Linked DNA regions of Tribolium castaneum. The protein of the gene in region 1 binds, or shares a complex with, the protein of each later gene. Links are inferred from orthologs where the notes say so. Each region holds a gene or a part of one and is shown on either strand. Other genes may lie near its edges.

The links. The genes of interacting proteins can lie anywhere in the genome.
Region 2: tho2 (region 1) and thoc5 share a complex: the UniProt entries of both Homo sapiens proteins name them as parts of the transcription/export (TREX) complex. The link is inferred for Tribolium castaneum from reciprocal best matches to the Homo sapiens genes THOC2 and THOC5.
Region 3: tho2 (region 1) and thoc6 share a complex: the UniProt entries of both Homo sapiens proteins name them as parts of the transcription/export (TREX) complex. The link is inferred for Tribolium castaneum from reciprocal best matches to the Homo sapiens genes THOC2 and THOC6.

The regions. Positions count from the first base shown.
Region 1 is NC_087402.1:8,544,705-8,549,204, forward strand, and holds the start of tho2 (THO complex subunit 2), read right to left. Parts: upstream 2,967-4,500; 5' UTR 2,874-2,966; coding exon 2,812-2,873; intron 2,630-2,811; coding exon 2,464-2,629; intron 2,415-2,463; coding exon 2,280-2,414; intron 2,229-2,279; coding exon 2,113-2,228; intron 1,586-2,112; coding exon 1,198-1,585; intron 1,149-1,197; coding exon 829-1,148; intron 779-828; coding exon 1-778. Other genes in the region: serine palmitoyltransferase 2, read left to right, coding at 3,153-3,389, 3,519-3,572, 3,626-3,679. UniProt on the Homo sapiens protein: Component of the THO subcomplex of the TREX complex which is thought to couple mRNA transcription, processing and nuclear export, and which specifically associates with spliced mRNA and not with unspliced pre-mRNA.
Region 2 is NC_087399.1:3,175,841-3,180,340, forward strand, and holds the start of thoc5 (THO complex subunit 5 homolog), read left to right. Parts: upstream 1-2,033; 5' UTR 2,034-2,132; coding exon 2,133-2,216; intron 2,217-2,267; coding exon 2,268-2,405; intron 2,406-2,457; coding exon 2,458-2,672; intron 2,673-2,720; coding exon 2,721-2,805; intron 2,806-2,851; coding exon 2,852-3,524; intron 3,525-3,846; coding exon 3,847-4,347; intron 4,348-4,396; coding exon 4,397-4,500. UniProt on the Homo sapiens protein: Component of the THO subcomplex of the TREX complex which is thought to couple mRNA transcription, processing and nuclear export, and which specifically associates with spliced mRNA and not with unspliced pre-mRNA.
Region 3 is NC_087395.1:25,800,153-25,804,141, forward strand, and holds thoc6 (THO complex subunit 6), read left to right. Parts: upstream 1-1,911; 5' UTR 1,912-2,092; coding exon 2,093-2,205; intron 2,206-2,251; coding exon 2,252-2,641; intron 2,642-2,686; coding exon 2,687-2,849; intron 2,850-2,898; coding exon 2,899-3,219; 3' UTR 3,220-3,251; downstream 3,252-3,989. Other genes in the region: DNA oxidative demethylase ALKBH2, read right to left, coding at 1,680-1,695; protein rhomboid, read left to right, coding at 602-775, 828-1,148, 1,196-1,531; uncharacterized protein LOC103314375, read right to left, coding at 3,533-3,954. UniProt on the Homo sapiens protein: Component of the THO subcomplex of the TREX complex which is thought to couple mRNA transcription, processing and nuclear export, and which specifically associates with spliced mRNA and not with unspliced pre-mRNA.

The DNA of each region.
Region 1 (4,500 bases):
TTCTATGATGTATTTTTTGTAAACAGCGCCACAAAAACTCGAGAGACTTTGTAGCCACGAAGAGATCGAAGTGCTATCATGTTTTACCCGTTTCTTGTCGGCGTTCGCTAGACATTCAACGAGGCAAAAGCCCAAAACATCGTACGATAAACTCGTCAGATATTTCAAAGAGTCGACCACTGGGTGAATCAAATTGCTATAAACTTGAATTTGGAGTAAAATGTAATCGAACAGAAATCCCGGTGAACAGTGGGTGAGTTTGCCAATGAGGCGGCCTACAGGTTTGATGTTTTCCTTACTGACTCGTTTCATGATATTTTTGATTTGTTTTTCGGAATCTCCGCGCTTTCGTAACAAGTCGGGGTATAAAGAATACGTCTCGTTTTTCCACCGGCTGTAAAGACAGTACCTATTCTGATATGGGTAGAGTTTGAGGACCGTCCACACTTCCTCTGCGATGCAACAATTGCAATCCATGTACGAGAGTGACGACAGTATTGTCGTGTCCAACAAAGTCAAAATATCGTAATATAACGTATCACCAGACGGACAAGGCGATTTTGACGACTCTACTCCATAGGAATTTAACGCCGCTTTGGAAATTCTTATCACTTTGTACATCAAAACGGGATCAAAACGGAGCGAAGCTCCTAAAGTAATCAACATAGGAATGGCATGATCTCGAAGTTCCAAAAATGAGGTTGCTTGTTTCGGGCTGAGGGGATTTTCATGGCGCGGGATAGGTTTTCCCTTGATTTTTGGTCCCAACTTACAAAATCTATAACAACCAATGTGGAAACCTCACAGCTAACCCTACACTTAACTTACTCTCTATAAACAGGTTCAACGATGTAATGCAACAATTTGCACAGTGCTAACGCGATCGGTTGGAATGACAGTGCGTAGTGATCAGGCAGACGATTTATCAAATTTTTCGCATTGTTCCAATCACCGACTGAAAGCAACGCCTCGCAAAGCCCCAACTTTTGGTTCGCGTTAAATTTTTCCATGAGATTTTCCGGCTCTTCGGGCGTTTCTTCCTTCTCCTTATTATTTATCGAGATCACTTGTAGCTTACGCACGTATTCTTTTGCATCTTTCATCGCTTTATCACACTCTTTAAACATGATTTTATCCTCAGGTGTTAACTATAAATCAACCATGAGCCAACAAGTCTTGAAAAAATCGTTTCATTACCCAAAGATAAATGTCGTCCAGTGATATAATGTTATGTTGTAACAACTGCGCCGTTAATACGTATAGAGATCGAGGAACATTTGTTTCGCTACTTCGCAAAAAAGTGAATTTCGATGCTAGAACTTCACTCACGATTTTCGGGTCTTTCATATACGAGCATATTAGAGGGACGAAAATTCGCGCGTCTTTTGGTTTATTCTCAAAACTCTCCAGAATTATATCAAGGACTCGGTTTGGGTCGAGGTTGAAGCAACCAATTAATGATTGAACTATGTCTAGGACGTCCTCATGACTGGTATTTTCGCCAAACTCTTGGTTCAATTCCGTTTGTAATTTTGCGAAACCCTCACATTCCTCGCGAAATAAGTTAAATTTGCGCTGTTTGTAGCTAAAAATAAAATTCACTTATAGGTGATTTTTTTGTAAATGTACCGTTTTTGAGAAAAATAATAAAATGTGTTAATATGTAGTCGATAACAGCGCAGACATCGCATTATAATATTTGCACTTATTACTCGTATTTGTCGTAATTTAATGTAAATTGTTTTCGTAGAATTTATTACTAGTCCAACTTGACAAATCATAAATTAAACTAAAATTTACGATAGATAATATAAAGACAAATTTTTAATCAAAGTGTCATTTTTTTTTAAATGTGTTATGTAATTGCAGTGCCAAACTCATTATAACATTGTGTAATAAAAATATATAAACTATCTTTTCTTTAACAATGAACAATCACCTATTAAACTTTTGTTTTTTTGTAACTTGTTAGCATCATCCAAAATCTCAAATATTTCTCTTATTTGAGACAGTCTTAATGCACTTGCTCTAGCACGTCATTGGAAAACTAATTTTGTGCTCCAAAATTAATTTTCCCTACGTTGTGCGGTTCAAACTTAGAATTATACTTACTATAGTTTTGTCTTCACTTTAATAAACTTTGAATAAAACGTTTTGTTTTTCAAGATGCCAACTTCTTGTAGCGTGTCTATTTCTAACCGTTCCTTCAACAATTGGTCTGAAAGCAACTAAATTTTCTGAAAATTAGATCAGCTTCTAACATTTGGCTAAGACGTTACCTTTTCACATTCTTTTATGATAAAACACAAATTGTTCCTTTCTTTTGAATCGTCGTTACTGCTATCAGGTATGCAAGAAGAGTCTGTGATACTTAAAACGTCTAAAATTACCGAAGGAACATCAGGATGTAAAGACTGCAAAAAAAACTTGAGTTTTTGTGACTCTTGACTACAACAAGCTTACAACAAGCTCCTGGAGCGTTGAAACAACAGCCTCCACTTTCAACTGCCCTTTGAGTCCTTTGTCAATCAACATATTTATGTTGGTTATGAGACTTGAGACTCTCCCATTTTTGTCAAAAACCGGGGACTTGGTGTCATCTTTCAACAACTGCATGCATGTTTTAACACTGAAATAAGCAGGAACCTTAGCGTTGACCACTCATTATAGAATTAAACGCAAAATCAACAATACACAAACGTGTGGACATTGACTCGTGTTTGCAATTCCCACACGTATTAACACACGAAACGGATGCAAAATTCGAGCAAATGAACCTAACCACATTATTTCAGTGAAATGTGCACTTACAACTCTGTTTTTCCCGATTTTTCCCAACTTTTCCAAACATCGTTACTAACAACACCTGCCATTTTTAGCAACCAAGCGTCATTTTTCCCAACATGGGCGCCCACGCGTTGCCAACAGCGAACCAAAGACCCCAGATTTTCGAAACTTGGAGCAAAAAGCACCAAATTTTGGGCAAAATGTCAAGCTTTCGGAATTGTGGTTAAGAACAATCAAATTTTTTTTGTAGAGAATTATGTAGTAATTGCGTTTTTTGCTTGCGGTTTTACGTCCGAGTGGATGTAGTTTACGGTTGTTCAGTTTCTGTTATTTGGGGAAAATTCGGAAAGACCGCAAGTTTTTGAATGCAAGGTTGTCTCACGGTATCACGCGAGTCGCAATCAACCAACAAAAAATTTGCGTTTGTAAAATGTGGACGCATGCGTCCTCAAATCCTCAGTATAGAAGCGAGAATGGAAGAGGGTGCAGGTGATGCTGTGACAGAGCTACTAAGTGGGGTAGATTTCGAAAATACCAAACACCAAAAGGTCATTTCGAACGGATACGGCCCCTACTCCGGAGGCTACGCAAATGGATATACGGTGAATAATTATTTGTGGATACTCGGCACGTTTTCCGGCTTTTTGGGTGGCTCATCAAGCTATTAACATTTCATTAGTGCTGACCAAATGAAATTGATCCTTATTATTAATAATTTATTATCCTTGCAGTGCATCAATAAGAGGAACGTGTACAGAGGATCCGAGCAGAATGGACATGTGCTGGTAATTAAACACTGGCCTACATTTTTCTAAATCTCACTGTAATTATTTTGCAGGCATCGTCTGACGAGGAATGCACCGCCAAAAACATGAAGGGACCAATAAAAAACGTGAGTCTAATTTTGACGCCGTCGAAATTATTTATTGCTACTCGCGGCAGTGTTTATTTTCCTCAAAAAATTCCAACAACGCAACGCAATATCATTTAAATTTTTTTCAAATTTTCTGAGAACGCGATGAGGCGTCCTTATCTGCAGATTAAGTAACACGAATTCTTAGATAAGGACGGGACAAATATTACAGCATATACTCATTTACTTTCACCTTCGTAGTACAATCCAAGCATTTATTTTCAATAAACCAAATTGTTTATTCTTGATTAGAATATCTATTAGCTGCATAAACATAATCTCTACCATGTGTTTACAACGTATAAACACGTAAAATTCGATAATTGTTAGTTTTCCAGTAGTTCAGGCCATGAGACGGCTAATAACACACATTAAACCTTGTCGTTAACACTAAAGCTTTTATTTTGTGAGATAATTCTTTCAACATGTGCACACAGATTCATTATTTGACCCAGAAAAGCGCTCGGAAAGTTTGAATCTGCATGCGCCAGTAGTTAAACATTCCTCCTTGAGATCAACAAATAATTCTATTTAACGAGGTGCATACAGTTTATTTCCTGTACGTGTAAATATTTACGCACGGCACTATCACTCAAGATTGTACTTTTTAATTTATTAATTTTAACAGCTCTGTTTTGAAATTAATAATGTAATAATAAAGTCAAGGTTTTGAAGGTGGCGAAAATACTCGTTATTTTTTATTTTAATTATGCCTGGTTGGTAACACCAAGTTTGATAACGGAAGGAACTATCATTTCACTTGTGTTTTATGATAATTTCAATGACGTAGTTATCACGTT
Region 2 (4,500 bases), on another chromosome or scaffold:
AAGTGGTGTAAAAAGTCAAAGTCGCTCTCTGGTGGCCAATTCTGATGTCAGTCTTTTGCAAAATAGCGTAAAATTTAATGTGACATCAAATGTGATAATTAAACGACAAGCAAAACGTGAAAAATTAGCGCTAGCCCGGCGCATCCACCATTTTTGAACATTGAAAACCTCGCTAAAAATACTTAATAAGTAAATTCTTCGTTAAAGTTAAAACTTTTGCGCTTTTTGGTGATCAGTTCTAAGATCAGTCGTTTGCAAAATAGCGGTAAATTTAAATTTGTGTCACAAATTCTGTGACAAAGTTGAGATTTTACCCGAAATTATTGCTAACCCGGCGCATCCACCATTTTTAAACAATATAAAAATGGTACAAAAAGTCAAAAGTCGGCTCTCTGGTGGTCAATTCTAATGTCAGTCGTTTACAAGATAGCGTAAAATTTAATGTGACATCAAATGTGATAATCAGATAACAAGAAAAATGTAAAAAAATAAATGTTATCCCGGCGCATCCACCATTTTTAAACATTTTTTTATGCCAGAAAAAAATTAGTAATGTTAAACTTAAGGTTGTTGCGCTCTTTGGTAGTCAATTCTGAAATCAACGTTTGCAAAAAAGCGTGAAATTTGAGTTTTGACATAAAGTTGAGGTTTAAAATATGATTTGAATTTAATTTTTAGCTTACCAATTTTTTCAACTTATTTTTCAATAAAAATCGTTTTTTTTTTTAAAATATCCCTTGGTTTTCCACTGTAAAAAAACAGGATTCAGTGACGAATTATATAGTAAATTTTCGCATTTAATCATTTTTAAAATCCTCTTGAAAATATCAGTTTATAATCGAATATAGTGCGGTAAAACTTTTATTAAAATAGTGGAGTGTTAAGAGCGTAACGAGTTTGGCAACAAAACTGTTTACCTAAATGAAATTCAAAGCAAAACACAAAAACACTTCATTTATGTTTGCGCAGTTTTAATAACGTTTAGCGGTGTTTTATGCCTCGAAACAATTACGAAATAATTAATCTAATTTTTTTATTTTTAATAACAAAGCTTGCAAATTTATATTTTTTGGGGGAAATACATCAAAGCTAGATGGAGCCACTTCTGGCGGCGCATTCAAATGGCGAATAAATCCCCATGCCGTATTTTACTTTGTCCCAATTGTCTCAGAACGTTTTAAAGTCGGCGTTTTCTTTTTGCGGCATAAACCGTCTGTCTAGAAAATTAAGAAATACCTCGGTGAACTAATTCGCGTAAAGTCGTGCGGAAAGCTTTTCGTTCTCTTGTATAATGTGTTTTCGGACAGGCGATAAAATTTTATCGTCGTCCAGCAATATTTCCTACGTGTGATCCTATGTAGTAGTTCTGACGCGACACCTTTTTTATCATCTTGAGAACCCGTCCACATCCTCGATAACCAATACAAGAGAAACGTGCCACTGCAAACCTGGTCCTTAGCAAAATGGATGAGTAGTCAAGAACATCCAAGTCCTATCTTAACACTGCTCGATTTTATACCTGGAGAATTTTACGAGCGCTCGCGTGTAAACAACACTTGGAAGGAGATTGAAAAATACTACAAAAAACTATTAAATTACGAAGTTTACACGATTAGAATAGCTCCTGTTTATTGGGCCAAGTAATTATTCGGGGACCGATAATTGCTTTAATTCGGGCGGAAAGCGGCAAGAAGTGCGCGATGTTTAATTAAAGCAGGTAAAAACGCGTTCAAATTTCGCGCCATTCACAATTCACCCATATTTAGTGAAATAATCACGAAAATCGCCCTTAATACAATAGTGATTACCATTTACAGTCTTGATATTAAAAAGTGCGATTTTATTTTTTTTAATGTTTTTACACGAACGACAAGTCCGGTACTCTGAATGATTATATAACGACCCAAATGTTACATAATCCGATTACGTAACAACTAATAATTGAAATTATCCAAATTATTTATAATATAAGTCGCAATGTTTGGATTTTGATTTAAAAACACAGAAATTAATTCGTTTAAACCAAGATGTGGTGTCCTGAAACAAAATGGCGTCTGTTGTCTGTCAGTTTGCGCATTTCTAACCTCAAATTTTTTGTCGGCTTGTTTACATAATCTTTTTTGCTTAAAAAAATGGTTAAAGAGTCAAGTAGTTTGAAAAAAAAGCGCAAAAGTGGGACTAGTGCCGACAATGAGGCCGAAATCGACATTTATAAAGTAATTACGCCTCCCTAATTTTGGTTATCACATTTATTGATTTTTTTGCAGAAATCGGTCGAATTTGAGGAGAAAGAGGCCCTCAATCGACCGAACGATACCGACGCTCAGATTTACTTCAACACGTGCAAAGAAATTCGGCATTTATTCGCCGAAATAAGTGAACTGAAAATGAAGAGTGGGTCTGATGTAAATTGGAATTTTGTCGCTTTTTTGTATATTTTTTGGGTGTGCTTTGTAGGTCAGGGCTAAAATTACGGAAAAAACCACCGAAGTGTGTCTATTATTGGTGCTTTTGAAAAAACTGAACCGCATGGAGAAGGTGCGTTTGGTTTTTCCAAAAGAACAATTGGCTGCGGAAAAACAAAAAGTGGACAGTATTAATTTACAATATCAGAACTTGTTGTACGAGGCTAACCATCTGATGTCGGAATATCGCAAATGTTTCCAGTTCAAGTAACGAAAACCCCCTTTTTGTGTAAACCCCCCAAAAATTTCTTTCAGGTCTAAAGACGAGCACATCGAGCTGGTCCCCGTTGAGGAGTTCCTCGCCGAAGCGCCGAAAAATTTAACGACAAAATTCAAAAAAGTTGGTTTAATTTTTTTAATTTCAAAAACTTTAAAAAAAATTTTAGTTTGATGAAACCGACGAAATGGCGAAGCACGAGCTGCGGCTCGCGCGCCTCGAGTGGGAGCTCCAGCAGCGTATTCATTTGGCCGACATGTGCAAAAAACTTGAAGAGGAGAAGAAAAAACTAGAGGGGGATATTGCCGAACGTCGCAATAAATTGGATAAATTGGGGCCCCTCTTGTCTTCGGTCATGGAGGCCACGAAACCGGTGCAGGAGCACCTGGGGCTCCACATTGACAAGATCCAGGCTGAACACAAGCTTGCCTCGCTTCTACCCAACCCCCTTTACTTGTTTTATGCCAATATTGACGCCTACAGACAGGTGAACGACTCGGGGATGAGTGTGGAGATTATGGGGGACCAGGAGGAGGCTAGTCAATGGAAGGAGTTGGAGTTGGCAGAGGATGAAGAAGAGGAGGAGGAGGACATGGAACCGGAAGCTGAGATACAGGAGGTGGAGGAAATTGTCGAAACGAAGAAACGGCGTCACCGGAAGTCGGTACATGTTGATCCACTTGAGGAGAAAAAACGCAAGTTGTTACAAGTTCACCCGCTTTCTGTACAAGTTACTGTCACTACTAAAGACGGTCCTTCAATTAAAATTCGACTAAGTTATTACGCAAAATTGGAAATCGTCACTGTATCTTCAAGCGTCAATATTCCGAGCAATATTACAGGTACTTGACCCACTATCTACAAAAATCCTCTTTTAGACAAAAAAAAACGGATAGTTACAGGTATTTTGTGAATGATAAGGAAAAACAACATAAACTACACCTTTTTTACTTGGTTTGTTTTCCGTCTCTATTTACAATTGAGTCATGTCCTGTTATTATCGGAATATGCTGAAATTTTGCATACTCACGTAATATCCGTGAGCGTGAGCAGCAAAAAATTCTTCTCGCTTTTAAAGGGAAAATCATACTTTCTTACTTTTTTACTATAATGGAGGAAAAAATGCAAATTTTTTTTAGTGACCCCCGAGTGTCTTTCTTACAGGAAACGCAGCTCGTGAGGTCTTATCAAACGAAAGCGTCCTCGTGGAGCTGGTGGAGGGCGACTTCGGGCTGGACAGCCCCAACCCGTGCACCCCTTACCAACTGAAAAAAGTCGGCTTGGGGTCCTTCCAAAGCCTCGTCCCAGAGCTTGGCTACGTCTACACGTGGGCGCAAAAAATGTGCGGCATTGATTTTTTGAATAAAATGTCCGGTTCGGATCAACTGAGCCAAACTAACGTCGAGTCGGTCATGAAAACAATAAAAAAGCGCCTAAAGTCGCGGTATGCCTTGGCGAAACAATTGGAGGAGTTGGAGCGGAATGTGATTCCTGTTTTGCCGGCTAGTGTCGATTTGCCGCGAACCACGATTTCGAGTCTTACGAAATGGTCATCAGGGACGTATCAAAGCTTTTGCGAGGCTAAATTTACGGAGGGTTTGCTAGAAGCTGAGTTAATTTCGCCGAATGATATTTTCTATAAAGCGACAATCACGCGTGATAAAGGTAAGTTTGGTGAGTCACGTGATTAATTAGTGTTTTTTTTGTATTTTAGCAAATTTGCAAGCTTTTGTTGTTATCAAGAACGATTATCCGTCAATTCCACCAATTTTTGCGCTTTGTTTGAACTATAACGGGACTAGACATTCGCAGAATGAT
Region 3 (3,989 bases), on another chromosome or scaffold:
TTTATTATTTTTTTATTTTATTGCTCTTAAAACGTCATGGCCACCCTAATATTTAGGTCACCATTGACGGAAATACAAAAATAAGAATTTTTTCGCTTACTTTGATAAGTAAACATAAAAATGTAAGAGTAGAAAATACGTGCAAGTTTAAACTTTAAATGTAAATAAAAAAAATACATACATATTTTGGGGCATATTTACAATTAAACCAAACTAACAACATTCTTATCTTGTTTCATCGATTTTATCACTTTTATCTGGCATTTCGCTTAAAACCGGTGCAATTACTTCATTAAATAAATTGTCAGTAGGTGTATCAATTACAGAGGAGTCATGTCTAACTATTTTCACTCTCCTCGAGAGTGAAATACCTTCTTAAACGCAAGTTTTTTGTTTTTATAACTTTAACTATTTATAGTTGGTTCAGTTTTATTCAAACTGTATGCGGAGTAGATGCCGCATAATAATTGCTCAAATAGTACGACACAAAATCGGGCCTATTTCCCTCCACTTTCGGACATGTTCCAGTAAGTACCTAATTTATTATCACACACAATTTTAATTAATTAAGTTTTCGACCCAAATTTGGTAAATTTTAATTATGCCACCGTCGCAAAAAATCCAAGTGAAATTAACCGACCCCATCGACCCCTTAATCGAAACCGAGCAAGTTTTTATCCCCTTTCCCTTATCACAAGAAGTGAAGAAATCGTCGCAATGGGCCGCTTGGGCAAGAAACACACCTTTCGGTATTTTGTCAGTCAGTGTTTTAGAGGTAAACCAGATTTTTGCATTATTTTTAGCTAATGTTTATGGTAATTCACCAGATAATCTTCTACGCTGCCTCGGATGAAAAAACCCAAAAACTGCTCCGCTTCGAACCGCACAAACTGACCGAAATTTGGCGATTCGTCACCTACATGCTTTTGCACGAAGACTGGATCCACCTGACTCTCAATATTTTCATGCAAGTGCTTTTCGCCTATTTTTTAGAAGCGCGACACGGAAGCGTGCGGATTCTTGTTTTGTACGTGACCGGGGGAATCACCGGAGTCTTGGGAGCGGCCTGTTTTCACCCCGACTTGGTCATTGGGGCCTCCGGGGGCGTGTATGCGCTTTTAATTTCGCACATTTCCGATATTTTTCTAGTAGGTATAAAGCGAGCGAGAAACAACATTTTTGTAATTTTTTTCAGAACTTTGAAACCTTGAATTACAAAATCTACAGATCTGCGTGTATCGGAATAATCGTCATTTTCGACATTATCTACAACGTGTTACATGCCAATTTTAAAAAGGAGCCTTTGATATCGTGGGGGGCCCACATGATCGGGGGCCTCGCAGGCCTGTTTTTGGGTCTAGTGCTCTTCAAGCAAAAACCGTCAATTGCACGCACACGGAGATTAGTTTTATTTTTGGTGGGTTTATTACTTTACGTAATTTTATTGATCTCGCTTGTAATAATAACCGTTCAGATTAAAAAATGTACTCCGAAGGATGCCATACGCAAGCGGTATGTTTATTTTTGCTGATATTTTTTTTATAACGAGTGTTTGGCTATAAATGTGCGGTAGCAAAGTAAAGCGTGAAATTACACAACTTATAGATGTTTGCGGCTATTTTTAGACGTTGGTTTTGTAAAAAAGTGAAAAATAAACGATTAAACAAACTGCTGCTTACTTGGTTGCACGCTCATCACAACACCACTAGCTCAACTGAGATTTTTTTAACGTTTTTAACACTTAAATCTGCGTTTTCTCGTTCTTTTTTTATATCTATACAAATATGTGTACGTTTTAAGGTATATTTTTTACGTTTGTTTTAGAGTTTATAGTATAATATGTTTAATTATGACATAAAAAAAACATAAATAAAGTTAGGTATGCAACTAACTTAACCGCGTTGCATGTTAAGTTGCCTGTATTAAGTCGATTGAGGTTATATTGTTTAATGTTTGGGGCTGTATTTATGTTAAATACACGTTTGCGCCCTTTGTAATCGTATAATTGGTAATAAAACCAGACTTTGTACAGTAATATTGCCTATTAAACGTGCGTTTAATTCACAAAAAGTTATTTTTTCTTAACCTCAAAATGGTGAACAAGTTGAATAAATCGTTCTATAACACTGTTTTGAGCCAGACTTTCACCCCGTGTGGCAACTATCTCGTCGTAGGTGACATTTACGGCACAATTTCGGTCTTCCAGTAAGTATTAAGTAACTTCCAGCAGCCCCCTGAACCCCAGTTCCAGCCTTTCCAAGCTAACAAACCAAGGATCTTCGATCACAAAAGAAGACCAACTGCCCAAAAACGCATTCACGATTAAAGAAGACGTCCAAATCAACAGTTTATTGACCATGAAAGCGTTCCTTGTTGTGGGGACAGTTGGCGAGATTTTGGGGTACTCCTGGAAGAACGTCAAAACGAGCAAAAAACCCTCCTGCTCGTGGACAATTGAAATCCCGAACTCCAAAGACAGTTTCGACAAACCTGACGTTAATTGTTTAGTGTTTGAGCCCGAAAATAATTTATTATTTGCCGCCTGTGGCGATAATAATGTTTACGTTTTCAACATCGAGACACGAAAAGAAGTGCGGTGTTTTAAAGGGCACAAGAATTACGTTCACTGCATCAATTTCTGGTAAGTGATTACAGGAACCTGTACTTTGGTCACATGGCATTTCAGTAACAATAAACTGGTTTCGGGGGGCGAAGACGGGCTTGTGCTGCTATGGGATGTGAGAGGAGGCCCCCCAGTGAGCAAAATCGAGCCCCACAGTAGGGATAAAGTGGCCAGGGTGGAGCTGGGGCCCTGGATAGGGGGCGTTGGGATTAACGATGATTGGCTGGTATGTCAGCAATTTTGGGCGAAGTGGCCCCCCTTAAATGATTTTTTAGTTGTGCGGCGGCGGCCCCCGACTGTCTTTATGGCACTTGCGCTCCCTGAATATCGCCACAGTGTTCCCCATTGACGATAAAGGGATTCATGTGGCGGAGGTCTACCAAGACAGGATTTTCGCAGGGGGGCGCTCTAATTTATTCTACCAAATGAGTTTTAACGGGGACATTATCACGGAAATTCCGACGTCTCCTGTGACCACGTACAGTGCGGTGCATCAGGATGAGCCCTTCCAGACTTTGTGCATTGCGGGGTCGAGCCCCAAAATCGACGTTTGTAGCAACTTTATCTACAAAAATTTGCAACTATCTCTGTATTAAGTCTTTAGTAAAATAATAAACCATAAATAATTCGTCCAGAATTTGAATTTGACAGCTGTCATTGATGCTCTTTAGGTTAGGATAAGGTACCGTTAAAGAGTCAAAAATCGCTCGAATGTGACCCCAAATCGTTTATAACCCTTATTATTTTTTTAAGAACAATTAAGTTACAGTATGGCCAAGTTTGAGTGCTCAAATTGGCGTATTATTGTGTGAAATCGCAAATTTCATATTTAAGTTGGCAGGACTGTATTAAAAGACAATTTAAACTGTTTGAAATAAATTTTTAATAAATAATTTGTACAACTTTTATTTACAAAAATCCGTGTCCGGCTATAACCGCCGGTATGAACCCCTCCTCTCCCTCCTTGTTGCGCACCCAGAACCACCCCGGCACATGGGTACCCTGGAGTACCACAACGTCGCCTTTCTGCACCTGAAGGGCATTTTTTTCGGTGCCAAAGTAGTCACTGTTGATGACTAGGAGTGTTTGTCGTTGGATTTTGCCACGTTTTGAGGATGCCAAAGCGCTGAGGTAGAGTCGATCGACGCTTCTTTCTTCACAGGTGCTTGAGGGGCGCAGTCTTCGGCTGTGGCAGCGCGTCTCGACGCTACATTCCGACTTGGAGCTGAGTTTTTCGGTGTCGGTCATGTTGCCGGAGGGTTTAGGGAACACATCGGTGCTGTTCTCCCAGCAAGGGGCGGTGGCGTCGTCCTCAGGGGGTGGGATAATGCCTGATATAATTTTTTTGATTTTACCATTTTAACAA